Linked DNA regions of Drosophila melanogaster. The protein of the gene in region 1 interacts with the protein of each later gene in a pairwise test. Each region holds a gene or a part of one and is shown on either strand. Other genes may lie near its edges.

Evidence for each region. Proteins that work in one complex are often made in the same cells at the same time.
Region 2: the proteins of CG8568 (region 1) and G9a interact in a two-hybrid assay, tested with the Drosophila melanogaster proteins (one large-scale study listed by BioGRID).

What each region holds. Positions count from the first base shown.
Region 1 is NC_004354.4:17,447,059-17,455,516, reverse strand, and holds CG8568 (uncharacterized protein), read left to right. Parts: upstream 1-2,973; 5' UTR 2,974-3,188; coding exon 3,189-3,474; intron 3,475-4,381; coding exon 4,382-6,375; 3' UTR 6,376-6,527; downstream 6,528-8,458. Other genes in the region: p-cup (presidents-cup), read left to right, coding at 6,816-7,112, 7,198-7,590, 7,892-8,367.
Region 2 is NC_004354.4:242,678-250,056, reverse strand, and holds the start of G9a (G9a), read right to left. Parts: upstream 4,080-7,379; 5' UTR 3,208-4,079; coding exon 2,461-3,207; intron 1,676-2,460; coding exon 1-1,675. Other genes in the region: CG3038 (uncharacterized protein), read left to right, coding at 4,387-4,645, 4,711-5,618.

The DNA.
Region 1 (8,458 bases):
TTTTTTATCGAATTTAACAACATATGGCATTTGATATTAGGACAACTATTTTTATTGTTGTGTTTTTATTGTCACAAAATTTAGTGGTATTTTTCATAAATAATTTTTTCACAACATTTTATTGCCAAAAATCCTAAATATTTTATTTTGCTCATAGCCCTATTAGAACTAATAACTTGCAATTTAAGAATGGTATGTATTTAAACTTGATACAATTAGCAATTTATTTAAGCAATAATTTAAGCCGGAAGCTCACTTTCAGCTTGTTGATTTTTTATGCACAGTTAAGCTTTAGTTGCATCTATGCACTTTAAATAACCTCAAATGACAATGCACATTGAAGGGCCAAAAAGCGAAAGTTTGTAATGCATTTATAATATTGTAGCTAAAAAGGAAATACCTTACCAAGTATTGGATGCATTTAAAATGGCAGTGCGGTGTTCCCTAGAGATTGCGTAAGTTTACGCTAAAGTTGAAGCCCAAATTCAAACCCTGCGTTGCAAAAGAGCTTAAAGTTTGTCAATTTAGCTTATCTTGTCGTTGTGTCGAAAGCTTGAAGGATGTTCTGAGCCAGGATACCAAGCAATTGGAATCCGCTGAAAGCTCCTACCCGTCAATTGACCCACATATTTCATTTCAGTTATATATTTGAGTCTGGTCGTTAGTTTTGCGTAAGGGCCAGAGAAAAAACTCGCCGAGAAAGACTCGCAGGCGTGCCAAATTGATGCTATCAGTAATGAATAATAATGCCCAATAAGCGAGTCGGCTGATAATGACGAGATGGCCCATTACATAAACGAAAGCACATTGCACCGCAGCTCCCAGCCAGTCCAGCTTATTAGCGTTAATTGTTGGCGACACTTTTATTTCCACTTCCATTTTCAATTTCATTTTCACATCTATTTCCATTTTGCTTTATTCCGCCGCCCGCCTTTGAATCGAAATAATGATTCGAACTTGGCAAGTGTCTGTCCCCCTTAACGCTTAACGAGATTGCAGTTCGGCTGACTCTCCTCCGCTGGCCTTTGGTCATCGGCCATTGGCCATTGGCCATCGGACACCGGCCACCGGCTGATAAATGAGTCTGGGCCAGACATTATGCAATATTGGGGCCCTAAGGCGATTGGGACCGGTACCCGAAATAGCCACCGAAATACGCTGCCATTCAAATGCAGTGATGCCCCAATAGTTTGAAATATCTCTTTCATAAATATCTCTTTTATAAACATTAATGATTTGTTAATATAATATCATAGCTTATGCCAAAAATCATAGAAATATTTTGTTGTTCAGATGCAATGCAAACAAAGAGGTTTTCAAATTTGTTAATTTATCTTCTTGCAACGTATTTCACTTCTTGAAAACAGATACAATTTTCCGTGTAGTTCGTTATTGTTGTTAAAAGAAAGGACTTTGCAGTGCCAGAGATTGTTATAAAAGGGTTAAAAAAGCCCAATTTGCTGAAATAGAACCATCAAATGGGAATCGCAACAATCGAATACAAAATGAAATGAAATGAAACAGGACGTGTTGCCCAAAGGACTGGTTTATTTGCTTGTTGATGCATTCGAAGAATGCCATTTTGGGGAAAAGGATGAACCAGGGAAGAGAATAAACTAGTGACATCCACAACGGATGCGGCAATCGGATCGATAAATCAGGCTTGTTTATGGCAACAGCAGCGGCCATAACCGTAACTCCCGCCGCCGGCAATGGTGCGGTGCCCAGTTCGAAAAACGAGTGGAGTGGAGTCGAGTCGAGTGGAGGGTTTCGGTTTGTCCATGGGGCCATGACCTGCCTCAAGTGCTTTGCGTAACAACAACAACACCACGCAGCAGCAGCAGCAGCAACAACAAATGCGGCAGGGAGTGTGGAATTTTGTTGTTTTTGGCTTTCCCAGCCAGTCACGATCGCCGCAATTTTCTTGTCACTGTCACCCGAAATACGACAAAAAAACAAAAACCGCTCGTCGCACGCAACAAAGCAAAGCAGCAACAGCAGCAACATCGGCTTAAAAGACAAATAAACAAAGCGGCTGCCACAGTAAAAACTGCAACTGCACGAACAGCAGCAGTAACAGTAACAGAAACAGTAACAACAATAGTAAAGAGGAATACAAAAAAAAAAAAAAAATGGTTGCAGCAGCAACAACAGAAATTGGCGATTCGCCGCTGCTGATAAGAACTAAATCGTCTGAGATCAATGCGAATATGGAATACCCTAATCAGGGAGTTAGGATATGTTTAAACAACTATGGATTTTTAAATAAAAATAATAATATTTTTTAAAAAACAAACCATGCTGCCAAAAAAATTCAAGTCGCAAAGTGAAATAAATGCAAATCATAAGAAAAGTTTTAAATTAAACCAAATCACAAATAAAATAGGATCATAAACTTAATAATACTAAGAATATATATTATTGGGTTATATACATAATTATTATAAAGAATTTATATATTATATATTTTATATTATAATTATATATTATTTAAATATCTTGTTTGTTAAATATATATAATACTTTATTTAATTTCAACTGAATATACATTTGATTATGATACTCAATATTTGTTAGAGTAGAATTATAAGGATTTTACTATTTGAAGTTCTTAAGCATATCGGAATGTACAAAGCTATTCACTGGACTGTGCTACCCTTTTTCGAGTAGTGTACAAATGGTTTGCCCGCAAAAACAGCAAACAGCCGCAACGAGCGACAATTTAACGAGGCTGCCGCGCTGCCGTTGGATATTGCTGCTGCTGCGGCTGCTGTTGCTGTTGCTGCTGCGTGGTGCTGCTGTTGCTGCGGTGTCCCCCCAGCAGCAACATTTTGGCCTCTGCCGCGCTCGCCGTCGCAGTCGCTGCCGTCGACGTCGACGTCCACTTATTCGGGCGGCGGTTTCCATTTCATTTTTAAGCTAACGCTCGTCGCGTTCAGCGTTTTAATATTTAATTGTCGTCGATCGCGAGCGGTTGTCATTGCTCCACTGGAATAATAGTTGAATTGCCATTGCCATTGGATTGCGATTGCCACGGCTGTACCGTTACCGTTAATCGTGAAGTGATCCGGGAATTCGCCAAGAGAATACCACACACAATACCATACCTGAAACGCGTTGCAGCACCCTTTTTTGTTCAGTGTTCATCAGTTTTTTGTTCAGTGTGCAGTTTGACATCCACAGTGGCCATGATTCCCTGGATTTGCCTAAGCGCGGCCATTGTGCTCATCCTGTGCCCCCTTCACACATCCTCGCGCAGCTACAGCAACGGTCTGATCTTCTACGAACTGAAGACCCACCGACCCTACCTACCGCCCACGGTCAGTGTGTCCAGGGGCCGAAATCTGGCCAGCGTCAAGTACTCCGAAAAGGGGTCCATCTGGTCCACCTTTGGCCAGCCCTGCGAGTGCAGCGGACCCACCTGCGGATGTTGCGCCGGTCTCAAGGTCGATCAGTACCGATTCGATCAGAAAGGTGAGAAAGCCCATGCTTCGTTAGCTATTAATGGGGAATAGAATATTGCAATACTTTAAATGTTTAGTAGATTATTGATTAGGAGATTAGTAATATGAAACAGTGTGACATTCGAGACATTATGAAAATTACAACCTTAGTTATAATTTCAAATTCAGAATGTTAAAAATATTTCTCATTTCTTTAGAAAGAAATGGTTTTGTATTGATGTATATTATTATGGTTTGAAACCAACAAGAACATTGATTACGAATAACATGTATTATATCTACGCGAGAAAGGATATGCATTTAGTAGATTTTTTGCACAGTGCACTTGTTATTTATTTGGTGAAGAAAACCATTAATGGGTTTTCATTTTCAGCATGCTATTTAGCCTTAATATCTTAATATACACTAATGGGCACTAGGTTAGTAATCGCCGTAGGATCAATCCGTCGGCCATATGCTTATGCATAAATTGGGATCTTTGCCGTCACTTAGCCTGGTCGGAATCGTGGCTCCTGGCCTGCGGGTGGTGGCCACACATATTTGGCTGCGATTTCGGCTGGATTCCAGGCCGATTTCCTTGGCCAAGAAACCGATCTTGGCCGCGGGTTGGCGGCGCATGCCGGAGACTACAATGCGATCGGTGGTTTGGCTTGGTTTCCATTTCGCTCCGCTTCGCTTCGTGACATGCCAGCATTTGCCAATCAAAATGCCACAAATTGTTGGCGCTTCCAGCGGTGGCCACCCCCTCATCGCCTCATCCACCATCCACCATTCAGCACCCAGCACCCACCATTTGCCTGGGATTCGTCGACAGTTTGCCACCCGCCACTTTCATTCATTGAATCGAATCGTTTCATTGTTGTGCCTATCTGTAATTTTGACTCAACGTTTTCTTTCCATTTTGCCTCTGTTTGCAGTGTGCGCCAACGTGAGCTTCGTGCCGCATCTGGAGGAGGCCCAACTGGAGGTCTTTCTTAATGGCAGGCCCTCCTCGAAATACGGAATCTCGGTGCGCAATCCGGCGCCCTTCTGCATTCCCGTCATGATGGGTGTACCGATGGCCATGTGCGTCCAAATGACCGACGTCACAGTGGTTGGGAACAACCTAAACATGTGCATGGACTTTGTGGTTCGGATGGCCACCACCGATCTCTTCGAGATGCATTTCCAGTGCATGCGAATGGGTCTGGATGGTCTGCAGTATGTGGACAAGAATGGCAAGCCCGTACTGCCGATGGGAGATGGTCAGAGCGACGATCCGGAGGAGTACGAGTACGCCGAGCTGGAGGATCAACCGGAAGAGTATCCTTATCAAGAGGATGTCAAGGAGGAGGCTCCATCCCAGGGCTATCAACCAGATAACAATCAGCAGCAGAAGAATACAACACTGACCACTGATCAGGTTAAAGAGGATGAGATGGAGAAGAATCAATCAATGGGCTATCAACCTCTCATCATAAATAATCAAGCACAGAAGATTGAGCCTCAATTAAATCTAGAAGAATTAATCTACCAACCTCAAAAGAATCAAACTCTAAGCGAGCCAGCTAAACAGGATCAGGTAGATAAGGAGGAGGATACACAAAATGAAGAATCAGGTTATCAAACACTAGGTCAAATTAAGGTTGAAGACCAAAAAGAAGAAAAGCCTGCAGAAAAGCAGCCAGAGATTCAACAGCCTTCAGAAAATACACTGGATGAAGATGAACCGATGGGCTATCAACCCCCGATGGCGATGGTTCCCCAAAAAGTTCCAGAAGAACAGCCTCTAGCTGAGGATCTTCAAGAAGAGGAGGAGAAGACTTTAGAGAGCGAGGGAGATCACCAGGAGGACGAAGAACTTGAAGATGTGGAGCCCCTGCCAATCGAAAGTGAAATGCTAATGGCCAGCGATCAGGCAGAAGAAGCACCTTTCGAAGAAGAGGCCGAAGAAATGCCAGCTGAAGACGCAAAAGAGACGGCAGCAGAGGCGGCGGAGAAAGAGAAAGAGACGGGGACGGAGTCTGAGCAAGAGACACCTGACAATGACAATGGTTATGGCGAGAGTGGCCTGAGGCCAAGTCAGGTAATTGAAACAATTACCAATTCAATAAAAGCCACTGAAGCGCCCACAACAACAACAACAACAGCCACAATAACGAAAATACCAACAACAACGACAAAAATACCGACAACAGCTACGACATTTAACAAGCCAAACATTGTTATTGATGGCACAAACAATGGGGAAAAGACAGTAGAAGCAGAGGGTGAGAAGACAGTAGAAGAGCCAGAGAAAGAGGGCGAGACATCTGAAGAAGGGGAGGCAGAAGACGACGAAGAAGACTCGACAACAGTGGCTGTTGAAATGGAAAATGATAGTGATAATGAGATAAACGTGGACGATGATGATGAGGTGGAGAAAAAAAACCGGGTGAAGGAACCCCCAAGCCAGGTGAAGAAGGAGGAGAAGAAACAGGAAGAGGGAGCGGAAGAAAAGTCCGAAGAGGGCGTGCAGAAAGAGGAGATAGAGCCGGAGAAAGAGGTGAAGGCAAGTCATGAAGAAAAGGTCAATCCAAATGACACAGCCGCTGAAGAAGATGAAGATAACGAAGAAGAAGAAGATGGGGAGGATGAAGAAGGAGAGGAAGATGAAGACGACGAGGAGGAAGAAGATGAGGAGGACGATGAAAAGGAAGAAGGCGAGGTAGACGCTGCTGAAGAATCCGCTGAAGCAGCAAAGCCCGAAGAAAGCGCTGTGAAAATTGATGAAAATGGCAATGGCTATGAAAATGCCTATGCAAATGCGAATGAAAATGCAAGTGGAAATGCATATGGAAATGCAAATGCGACGCCGGCAGCGAAGTCGTTGTCCCGACGTCGCCGTCTGCGCACCCGCCGCCTGCCGCGCCCCCTGAGGAAACACCATTAGGCCCCACTCCTTAGCTTAATTTATTGTAATTCGTAATTGTTAATGAATTGTTAATGCTAAACGTTGAAGCCTGTTAATTAATACGTATTTATTGTATTTATTGAAACCAACTCAAAGCCAAACTCAAGCGAAATAAACGTTAATTGTAATTTAATCACTGAGATTCCAAGTTAACAACAGGTATTTTTCGAGGCTTGCCTGGTTGAAATTTAAGCCACAACTCCTGGTATTTTAATATCTGTATTCGGTGGTTAAGCTGCCCTGAAGCCAAATGCAAAATCGAAAGCTGCTAATAATAGTTTTTTCACTGATCTCTACATTATTCCCATCATTTTGGCTTTGCTCCACCAGTTAAACTTACACTTTTGTTCACTGGTTTCACTTAGTATCTTGCCAAATTCCAGTTGCGTTTGCATGAAATTAGCCGTACAAAATTCAACATGTCATGGACGAGTGGCCTGTACAAGTCCTTGCTCCTTCGGAGCCAGCAATCGCTGGTGCGTCCGGATCTCGCCCTCCTGGACATCCAGATATCGAAGCGGGCCATTGAAACGATGTTCGGTCATCGAAGGGAATTGAGTTTCAATCATTCACATACCGCCGACATCATTGCCAAGAAGTGCGAAGAGCTTTTCAATGCCAACGAATTTGAGAACGCCCTAACCACGCTTTATACGGACGGACGTCCCTTTGGCGGACAGTTTGCCCACGGGCGGTTCGAGATGATCAAGCAAAGGGTGAGGGTCATTGTTAATATCTCACTGTATTTTGTTAATAGATTGCTTAAAAGAAAATAGCTTTTGAAATATCACCTTCCATTAGAGCCTCGCCGTCTTCGAAGACACCTTGGGCGAATCCCTGCGTCCCTTTATGCATCAGCACAGGGACGTCCTGGAGCAAATCAACCGACGCCAGAAGGAGCTGGCCGCCCATGTGTCCCGCCCACTTTGGAAGAAGCTGCGCGACCAACAGCAGTGCGACGTCCAGAGTATCATTATCAAGGAGCGGCCGCAGTTGACCTTACTGGAAAAGGCCCGCCGGCGGGCGAGTGAGAGTCTGTACAACCACAACTACTTGGGCCGCAGCGCCGTCGATATCGCGCTGCTGCGTCAACTGCGCAGCGACCGCAACTTCCTCGATCCCCTGAGGCTTGCCACCACGCCCCCAATGCGCAAGCTGACCAGAAGGCAGTTCACGATTGTGCGACGGCTTATGGTGAGTCCAATTCAGGGGAAAACACCACTTGGCAATTGAACTTTTTCAGGGAAAACCATCTCTGAGTCGAGAACAAAGTTTAAAGAGGGAATACTCTAAATATAATATAAATTGATTAACAGTTGCAGTTAAACAATTTGCAAACATGTCATCTATAAACATGTTTAGTAAGATTAAATGAACTTTTAAGAGAATCCTAGACTATATACTTACTTGCTTTCTAATTTTACTAAACATATTACTTTCGTGTAAATCAAGAGCTTTACTAGCATTTCCCACCACTTCTCATGAATTCACTTAGAAAATGCTTCAAGCCCGAAATCCGTTGTACAACCGGCGGTACGTGCAACAACGGCACGGTCCGATTGCGGACCAGGAGCGGCGTCGGTGGCAGGAGATGCACCTGTTCCATGCGCAGTACCAGACGCGACGCGACTGCATGCGGATGCTGCACGAGGTGCACAAGCGGCGCCGGGAGGGCGATGTGGAGAAGCTGTCCGATTACGTGGAGAACATAATGTCGGGATTCATAGAGTATAAAACCCATCGCACGCTGCCCTGGAAGTTTGAGTTCATCAACGAAGTCTACAATATCCTGGCACTGGCCTATTGCGACAAGTGCGCGGTGCCAGCCAATGTCGACTTCCTGCAGGCCCAGAATCGACCCATCTTATACCTACTGCGGACGGAGAAGCTGCACGACATGAGCGTACAGTTCGGGGGTCCCAACATCTATGTGGAGATCGAGAAGGAGGATGAGCGGCACAGCCGAATTAGGTGAGTGTAAGGGAAGCTGTATCCAAGCTTTTCGAATGTGCTCTTCAAAAACATACATTTTATTTTTTTTTATATATATATTTCAAATTTT
Region 2 (7,379 bases), about 17 Mb from region 1:
ATGATGAATCCGGGGCATTCCTGGCATAATACTGGGAAGGCTTCTGACATAGACAAATAAACTTTGACACTCTGGAGGTGCTGGGCCTCATATCTAAGTCTCTTATGGGCGTAACATCAGCTTGAATAGAAGTGTCCAACGAGTGAAGCTGCTCCGCATCAGGTGTAGAAATTGGCACACTTGCTCGGGCTGCCTCAGTAACTTCACCGGCGGCTCTTGCACCTATCCTTCTCGTGAGTTTGGCTGCCTGCACGACTGGATTCCGGCGTGATTTCAAAGTGGCTGTGGTGGGAAGCTCCTTGGTAACACTATTCCTTACTCTCAAAGTAACACTTGGTTTTCCCACTTGCACCCTTGTAGTAGGAAAGAATTCATTGTCCGTATTGGAACTGTCGTTATCCGAGGGCTCATCTCTGTGATTTTTTTGCAGGCCCAAATGCTTCAGGTGCTTTTCCTTTTGTTTGGCCAGTTTTCGTTGCTGTTTTTTGTTCAATTTCCTTTCTTCTGGTGACCGATTCGCGTTAATTCGAGATGCCTTGATGTCGTTTAGAAATTGTTCGACATCCGGACACGGAGGTAACTTACTTTTGGCTAGCATTGCTGCGCCATAGTTCTCAATGTCCCGCTGGGACTTTGAAAATAGTCTTTTCTTTATGGCACTTGTGCCTGCAGGATGTCCTGGACCACCTTCGAAGTTGCTCCCGTCGGACTTGTCGCTCTTTTGCCTTGAGGTCGAGGAATTGGACCCATTACCGCCTGTTGTTGGCGTTTCAAAATCCCCATCTACTGCTGCAGCACTCTCCCACTGGGTCATACGCTCAATGTGCTTCGTTTCGAACTCACAGCGCAGTTCGTCATTTTCTAATATCTTTGGCGTTGGTTTTATTCTTCTTTTTGAACGCTTGGGCAGCTGAAGTTCGCATCCACCAGAGGAATTCGTTTTCTTGTTGCCATTAGCAAACGGTAGCCCGCAGGATGTTTCAGATTCTAACTTCACACAGGGCGTTTTTGCCTTCCGCCCTCGCTTTTTGGGTGGGGTCTTCTCATCTAAGACAGCTAGTGGCAAGATCTCAGAAGTGACCTCCGCAAAGGAAAGTTCTGCAGAAGGCTGCGGGTGAAGTGCCTCTGTCTTTACCTCCTCCCAAGGGCTTCCATCGGCGTGTAATCGATTGCCTAAACGAACGCTACGTCGCATTCTCTTAACATCTCCCAAGGGAGCGTCACCCAATTCCTCCTGCTCTGTTTTTACCACGACAAGGTCGCTTAGTTGCTGCTGATCTATCGGTTCATCCGGGAGTTTCCTTTTGCGTCCTGGTTTCTTCTCCCCTAATGAATCCTCGCAGGGTAAAATAACCTCACTGGTTTCCACCTCGGCATCGGGTCTTATTTTCCTGGCTCGACCCCTTCCTCGCTTCGGAGCAGGAGCCGAGTTTTCCTCAGGAGATAATGCAGTTAATGACGGTTTGTCCGGTTCACTTTTCAACTGCAGTCTGACAATAGCAGTATTATCGTCCAGTGTGAACCTCTCCAGATGGCTACTACAATCCGTATACTGCTCCGACTTTCCAAATTTTTTATTCTCCACCTGAACATGTTCATCAGTAACTGAAGTGGGCGTGTCTATGGGTCTGGGTGTTCTTCGAGACCGTCGCGTTCCACCGGGCGAAACTTGTACCTGCAAAGTACAGAGACTCATTGAATGTGCCGACTAAAGAAGTACTCAGGATAATATTATATATTATATAATATAGAGACATACTAACTAGAAGTACCAGTCCTCAAAGAAAGCTTCAAATGCCTTCATCGGTTGCCTAGACAACTGTTTCTACCAAACATAAGAGGTCTGTTGACCAAGAGGATGAATGAATGGATGGCTTAACCCTCTTAAAATTGGATGCAATTACTTCAAGTCTTTCTTGTATTCAAATCCCTCTGGAATTATGACAAACTAACAATTGTAATCTAACCTTTTTATGACCTAACCATATTAAACAAACAGCTGAACAAAAACAATGACATACATTAGAATATTTATGTATATAAATATGCGTACATCAATCATATGTACGTATGTATTTGATTAAAACTACACGTGAAACACTAGAAAGAAAAGAACTCAGCAGTCAAGGGCTAACTTCTAAATGAATTAACAAATAGTAACTTCTCCAACATAATACGTCTTTAATTTGTATGACATACAAAAAGTAGAGAAATGAAATAAATCCCTAACCTTTTTTATGATTGGTATGAACCAAAACAATGCCATACATTAGGATATTTATGTATATAAATATGTGTACATCAATCATAACTACGTATGTATTTGATTTAAACTACACGTGAAACACTAGAAAGAAAAGAACTCAGCAGTCAAGGGCTAACATCTAAATAAATTAAAATATAAAAGAAAAAGCAAGAATTTCGAAGCTGATACACACAAACACACACACATTTACTTACATTTTTATCAGCTAATGTCGCTGCTCCTGCCGACGTCGCTGCTCGCATTTGGTTGGTTGCGTCAGCAGCGAGTTTAACGCTAGCAGAACTAACAACAAGTGGAGATGCTACTGCTACCTCAATTCTTGTTGTTGTCAGTGGTTCTGCATTTGCTTCCAATTTTTGTGTTGCTGCTAGTATGGGTTCTTCTTCTTTCTCAGCAGCTTTTTTATTTTGCTGCTCAGTTTTAAAGCTTTCGTTTTCCCATCTCTCTGTCGACGTCGTTGCAATTTCCGTTGCGTGTTTCTCTGCACGCTCGTTGCTTTCCATCTTTACTGTTATGGATGTTGCTTTGCCATTCTGCTTTTTTTCCATTTCGGAGTCTTGTTTTGCGACATCTTGATCGTACTCCATTTCCTTCCTACCTTCTTCCTCTATTTCGCATTTTGTATGTGGTTCGACTTTTTCTGCATTCTGCGCTTCTTCTTCTTCCAGCTTGACAGCGGCCGCATCGACAACATCTGCCAAAAGTGCTTTGATGTCTTCGATTTCCTCTTGATTCCTTGCCTCCTTGCGCTCCTCCTCCTCCTTGTCCTTGTGCTTCTTTTCTTTACTAGCGAACTGGTTATTGGCCAAATTACGCCACTTGAGGGTTTTGTCTTCCGCCAAGTTCAGATTTAGCAAAGTACCACCCTCCGCTGTTGAAGTAGCACAGTCGCTATTGAATGTACTGGACATGCTGTTCATCAGCTCAACAAAGTCCGTCATCTTGCCTTAATTGTCACTATTTGATTACTTTGCGTATTAGTTTCTTTGATTTTCGATTTCAGGAGTCAATTTTCCATCTTTAAGCCAATAAAAACATAATTTCGCTTTCAGAACCCTATTTTTCCCGACAAGATTTGTGCATCGGTCGTACAAGCAGCAGCCTTTGTTGTTGCTTTGCTGTTCTGAATTTGCAACTATTTTGACACCGATATTTTTGAGTATAAATGGGCAAACATAAGGCAAAATAAAACATTTAATCTTTAAAATTTAGACATTAAAATCTGGTTTTTCTGCTTTATATTATGCTCTTTCTTTTTCTTCGTTCTGCCGGCAGCGAAGTCGACTGCGTTTCTTGGTGGTCACAGCTAAATTTTTTGTATCCTCTCTTTTTTTTAATTTCTAGAGAACAAAACGTAAAAATACAAAATTTCTCACTATATTTCTTACTATATATTTACTATAGTTTTCCACTTTTTCGTTCATTAATTGCCCTTAAGAAGCTCAAAATGTTTGCAGAAATCGCTGCTTTGCTGATTAGCTCACATGCTGTCAAATATTACACTCTCTCACATCGCTTCAACGCCAAGATTGTTGTTCTTGTTGTTTCTCTGCCGACGTCGCTGCTACTGCGTTTTTGTTGGTGTTGCAGTCACTGTTTTGAGATTTTGGAATTGGTAAGCTGCAAATTTTTCAACGAATTTACAAATGCTTGTAGTTTTCGTGGCTTTCTCTTTACATAGGCAACCAGTTCAATAACATTACTTTAGAAAAATATAAGAAAAGCACACGAACACACATACAGAACTGCGTTTTTGACGCACGCACACGCACGCACTTCGCGCTGAAAACTGTTATCCGTAAAGAACAGCAACAACACAACAACTAGAGCTGGCATGGCACAAAAATCGATGTTTATCGGACATGGCAACGCTGCTTGGAATGTGTAATCGCTAAAAGAAAATAGGGTGACACGGTTCCCAATTTAGCTATCGCTAATTTGATAGGGCAGCACTGGCAAAGGCGTGAAAACAATTGTTATTAACGCATCTCAATTTATTTTTTTCTTAATATATAATCGTTTTAGGCATTGTGTTTATTAAAGTTTAGCAAGATAGACCAAGCCACATATACTTACAGACGGCATAGTGCGAGGGGAATCCCACGTAGAATGTAAGAAAAATGCGCATGCGCGGACGAAGATTGCTTCCGATTATTTTGTCGCTTCTTTTGATCGTCCTACTGAGTCTCTGTTACTTTTCGAATCACTTGAGGGATTCAAGCCAGTCCCGCAAAAACGGTTTCTTGCTGCACTTACCACTCGAAACGAAGAGGAATCCATCTAACCCTAATACTCCGTTAAGTAATCTTCTGAATCTCACGGACTTCCACTACTTGCTGGCCAGTAATGTGTGTCGAAAGGCAAAAAGAGAACTCTTAGGTAAGTTCTTTGCTTTAATCAACCATTGTAAGGAATCCTTAATCATTTTTGTAATTCCCGATTAGCCGTTTTAATAGTTACTTCGTATGCCGGACACGATGCCTTGCGATCAGCTCACCGACAGGCAATTCCCCAAAGCAAACTGGAAGAAATGGGCCTGCGAAGAGTTTTTCTCTTGGCAGCCCTGCCTTCAAGAGAGCATTTTATAAGCCAGGATCAACTGGCCAGCGAACAGAATCGTTTCGGGGACCTTCTCCAGGGGAATTTCATCGAGGACTATCGCAATCTGAGCTACAAACACGTAATGGGATTAAAGTGGGTCTCTGAGGAGTGCAAAAAGCAGGCCAAGTTTATCATTAAACTGGATGATGACATCATTTACGATGTGTTTCATCTGCGCAGGTATTTAGAGACCCTCGAGGTGCGCGAACCTGGACTGGCCACATCAAGTACTTTGTTATCTGGCTACGTACTGGATGCCAAGCCCCCCATTCGCCTTCGAGCCAATAAGTGGTACGTTAGCAAAAAGGAGTATCCTCAGGCTTTATATCCCGCCTATTTGTCGGGCTGGCTTTACGTGACCAACGTGCCAACAGCCGAGAGGATTGTGGCGGAGGCGGAGAGGATGTCATTTTTTTGGATCGATGACACCTGGTTGACTGGAGTAGTAAGGACTCGTTTGGGTATTCCCCTTGAGCGTCACAACGACTGGTTTTCTGCCAATGCAGAGTTCATCGACTGCTGTGTGCGAGATCTCAAGAAGCACAACTATGAGTGCGAGTACTCCGTGGGACCCAATGGCGGTGACGACCGACTACTGGTGGAATTTCTGCATAACGTTGAGAAGTGCTACTTTGATGAATGCGTCAAACGGCCGGTTGGTAAGTCGCTCAAAGAGACCTGTTTAGCGGCGGCCAAATCTCGACCCCCTAAACATGGTTTTCCTGAAATAAAAGCGTTGCGACTCAGGTGACATCGGTTCAAGGACAAATGGCTTTTCATCCTTTAGCAACTATCATGTAAGGACTTTTTAAAAGGGGGTGATGAAGGAAGAGACAAATATTGGAAAAGGGATATGATACTCATCCTTGCATATATATATATATGCATTACAATAAATGTTTGCCAGAAATCGACTTTACATGAATTACTATACACCAGTTTTTTAATTATATATAATTTCGGTTGCCATAGTAACAGTCGGAAAATTAAATGAAAAATAATAGGACATGAAAACATACTTTCATTGTTTTTTTTTTAATCATCAATTTTAAAAATAAAACTGTTCTAATGTGTTTTTTGTTTTACACTGCATTTTTACGAAATAAATAATAATAATAAGATTAAAAACAGAACAAGACAAAAAGATTTATGTTTTGATTTTTTTAAGGAGAATATTAGTCGAAAAGAAATGAATTCCACAAAATATAATCGACAAAACGCGGAATGTCTTCTATCCTGGACCCTAATAAAATAGCAAATCAATTTACATAACAGCTGAAAATTTATAGTAGTTTTGATAAAAGATTCAGAAATGAAATTATATATTCCGGTAGACACTTAGTTCTAAAGGCTAAGACATTTTCTTTAAATTTCGGAATAATTTTTTTCTGCGTAGCAAATCTTGTTGAAAAATGCCAAAAAAATTTAATTTCCACTTTTTAATGTAGGTCGATGGGATATTTTTTTTTACAATTTCAACGAGGTATGGCATTCCACAAAAAAAAATAATACGAATATTGCCAAAAACCGGATATTAACATAAGGGGTTCCATCCATAACTTGGTCAAAAAAGATATCACCGCTAAAATGAAATGAAAATACAGATTCTTTTTTAGCAAAAATAAACAAAATAAAAATCGCCAAAAACCGCTTAAATGAAGACTGTTTTGTACTGCCAATAAACATAGCTAACTATCAGTGTCACTATTTTTATTATAATCAAAAACAAAAATTTTAACACATTTTCGCATTTTTTGATAAGGGGTACCATCATTAAAATTTGCGAAAAATGGCAAAAAATCTGAATTTCTATTTCTAAATGCAGGTCGATGGGGAATTTTGTTACGAATTCAATGAGGTATGGCATTTCGCTCTTGGACAGTTATTTTTAATGCTATTGAGAAAATACAGATTCCGAATAAATAAAATAAAAATGGCAAAAATCGGATATTTACAAACGGGGTTTTGTGCATAACCTGGCCAAAAAAGTTATAACCGCTTAAATGAAGACTGTTTTGTACTGCCAATAAACATAGCTAACTATCAGTGTCACTATTTTTATTATAATCAAAAACAAAAATTTTAACACATTTTCGCATTTTTGATAAGGGGTACCATCATTAAAATTTGCGAAAAATGGCAAAAAATTTGAATTCCTATCTCTGAATACAGGTCGATGGGGAATTTTGTTACGAATTCAACGAGGTATGGCATTTCGCTCTTGGACAGTTATTTTTAATGCTATTGAGAAAATACAGATTCTTTTTTACCGAAATAAACAAAATAAAAATGGCAAAAATCGGATATTTACAAACGGGGTTTTGTGCATAACCTGGCCAAAAAAGTTATAACCGCTTAAATGAAGACTGTTTTGTACTGCCAATAAACATAGCTAACTATCAGTGTCACTATTTTTATTATAATCAAAAACAAAAATTTTAACACATTTTCGCATTTTTTGATAAGGGGTACCATCATTAAAATTCGCGAAAAATGGCAAAAAATTTGAATT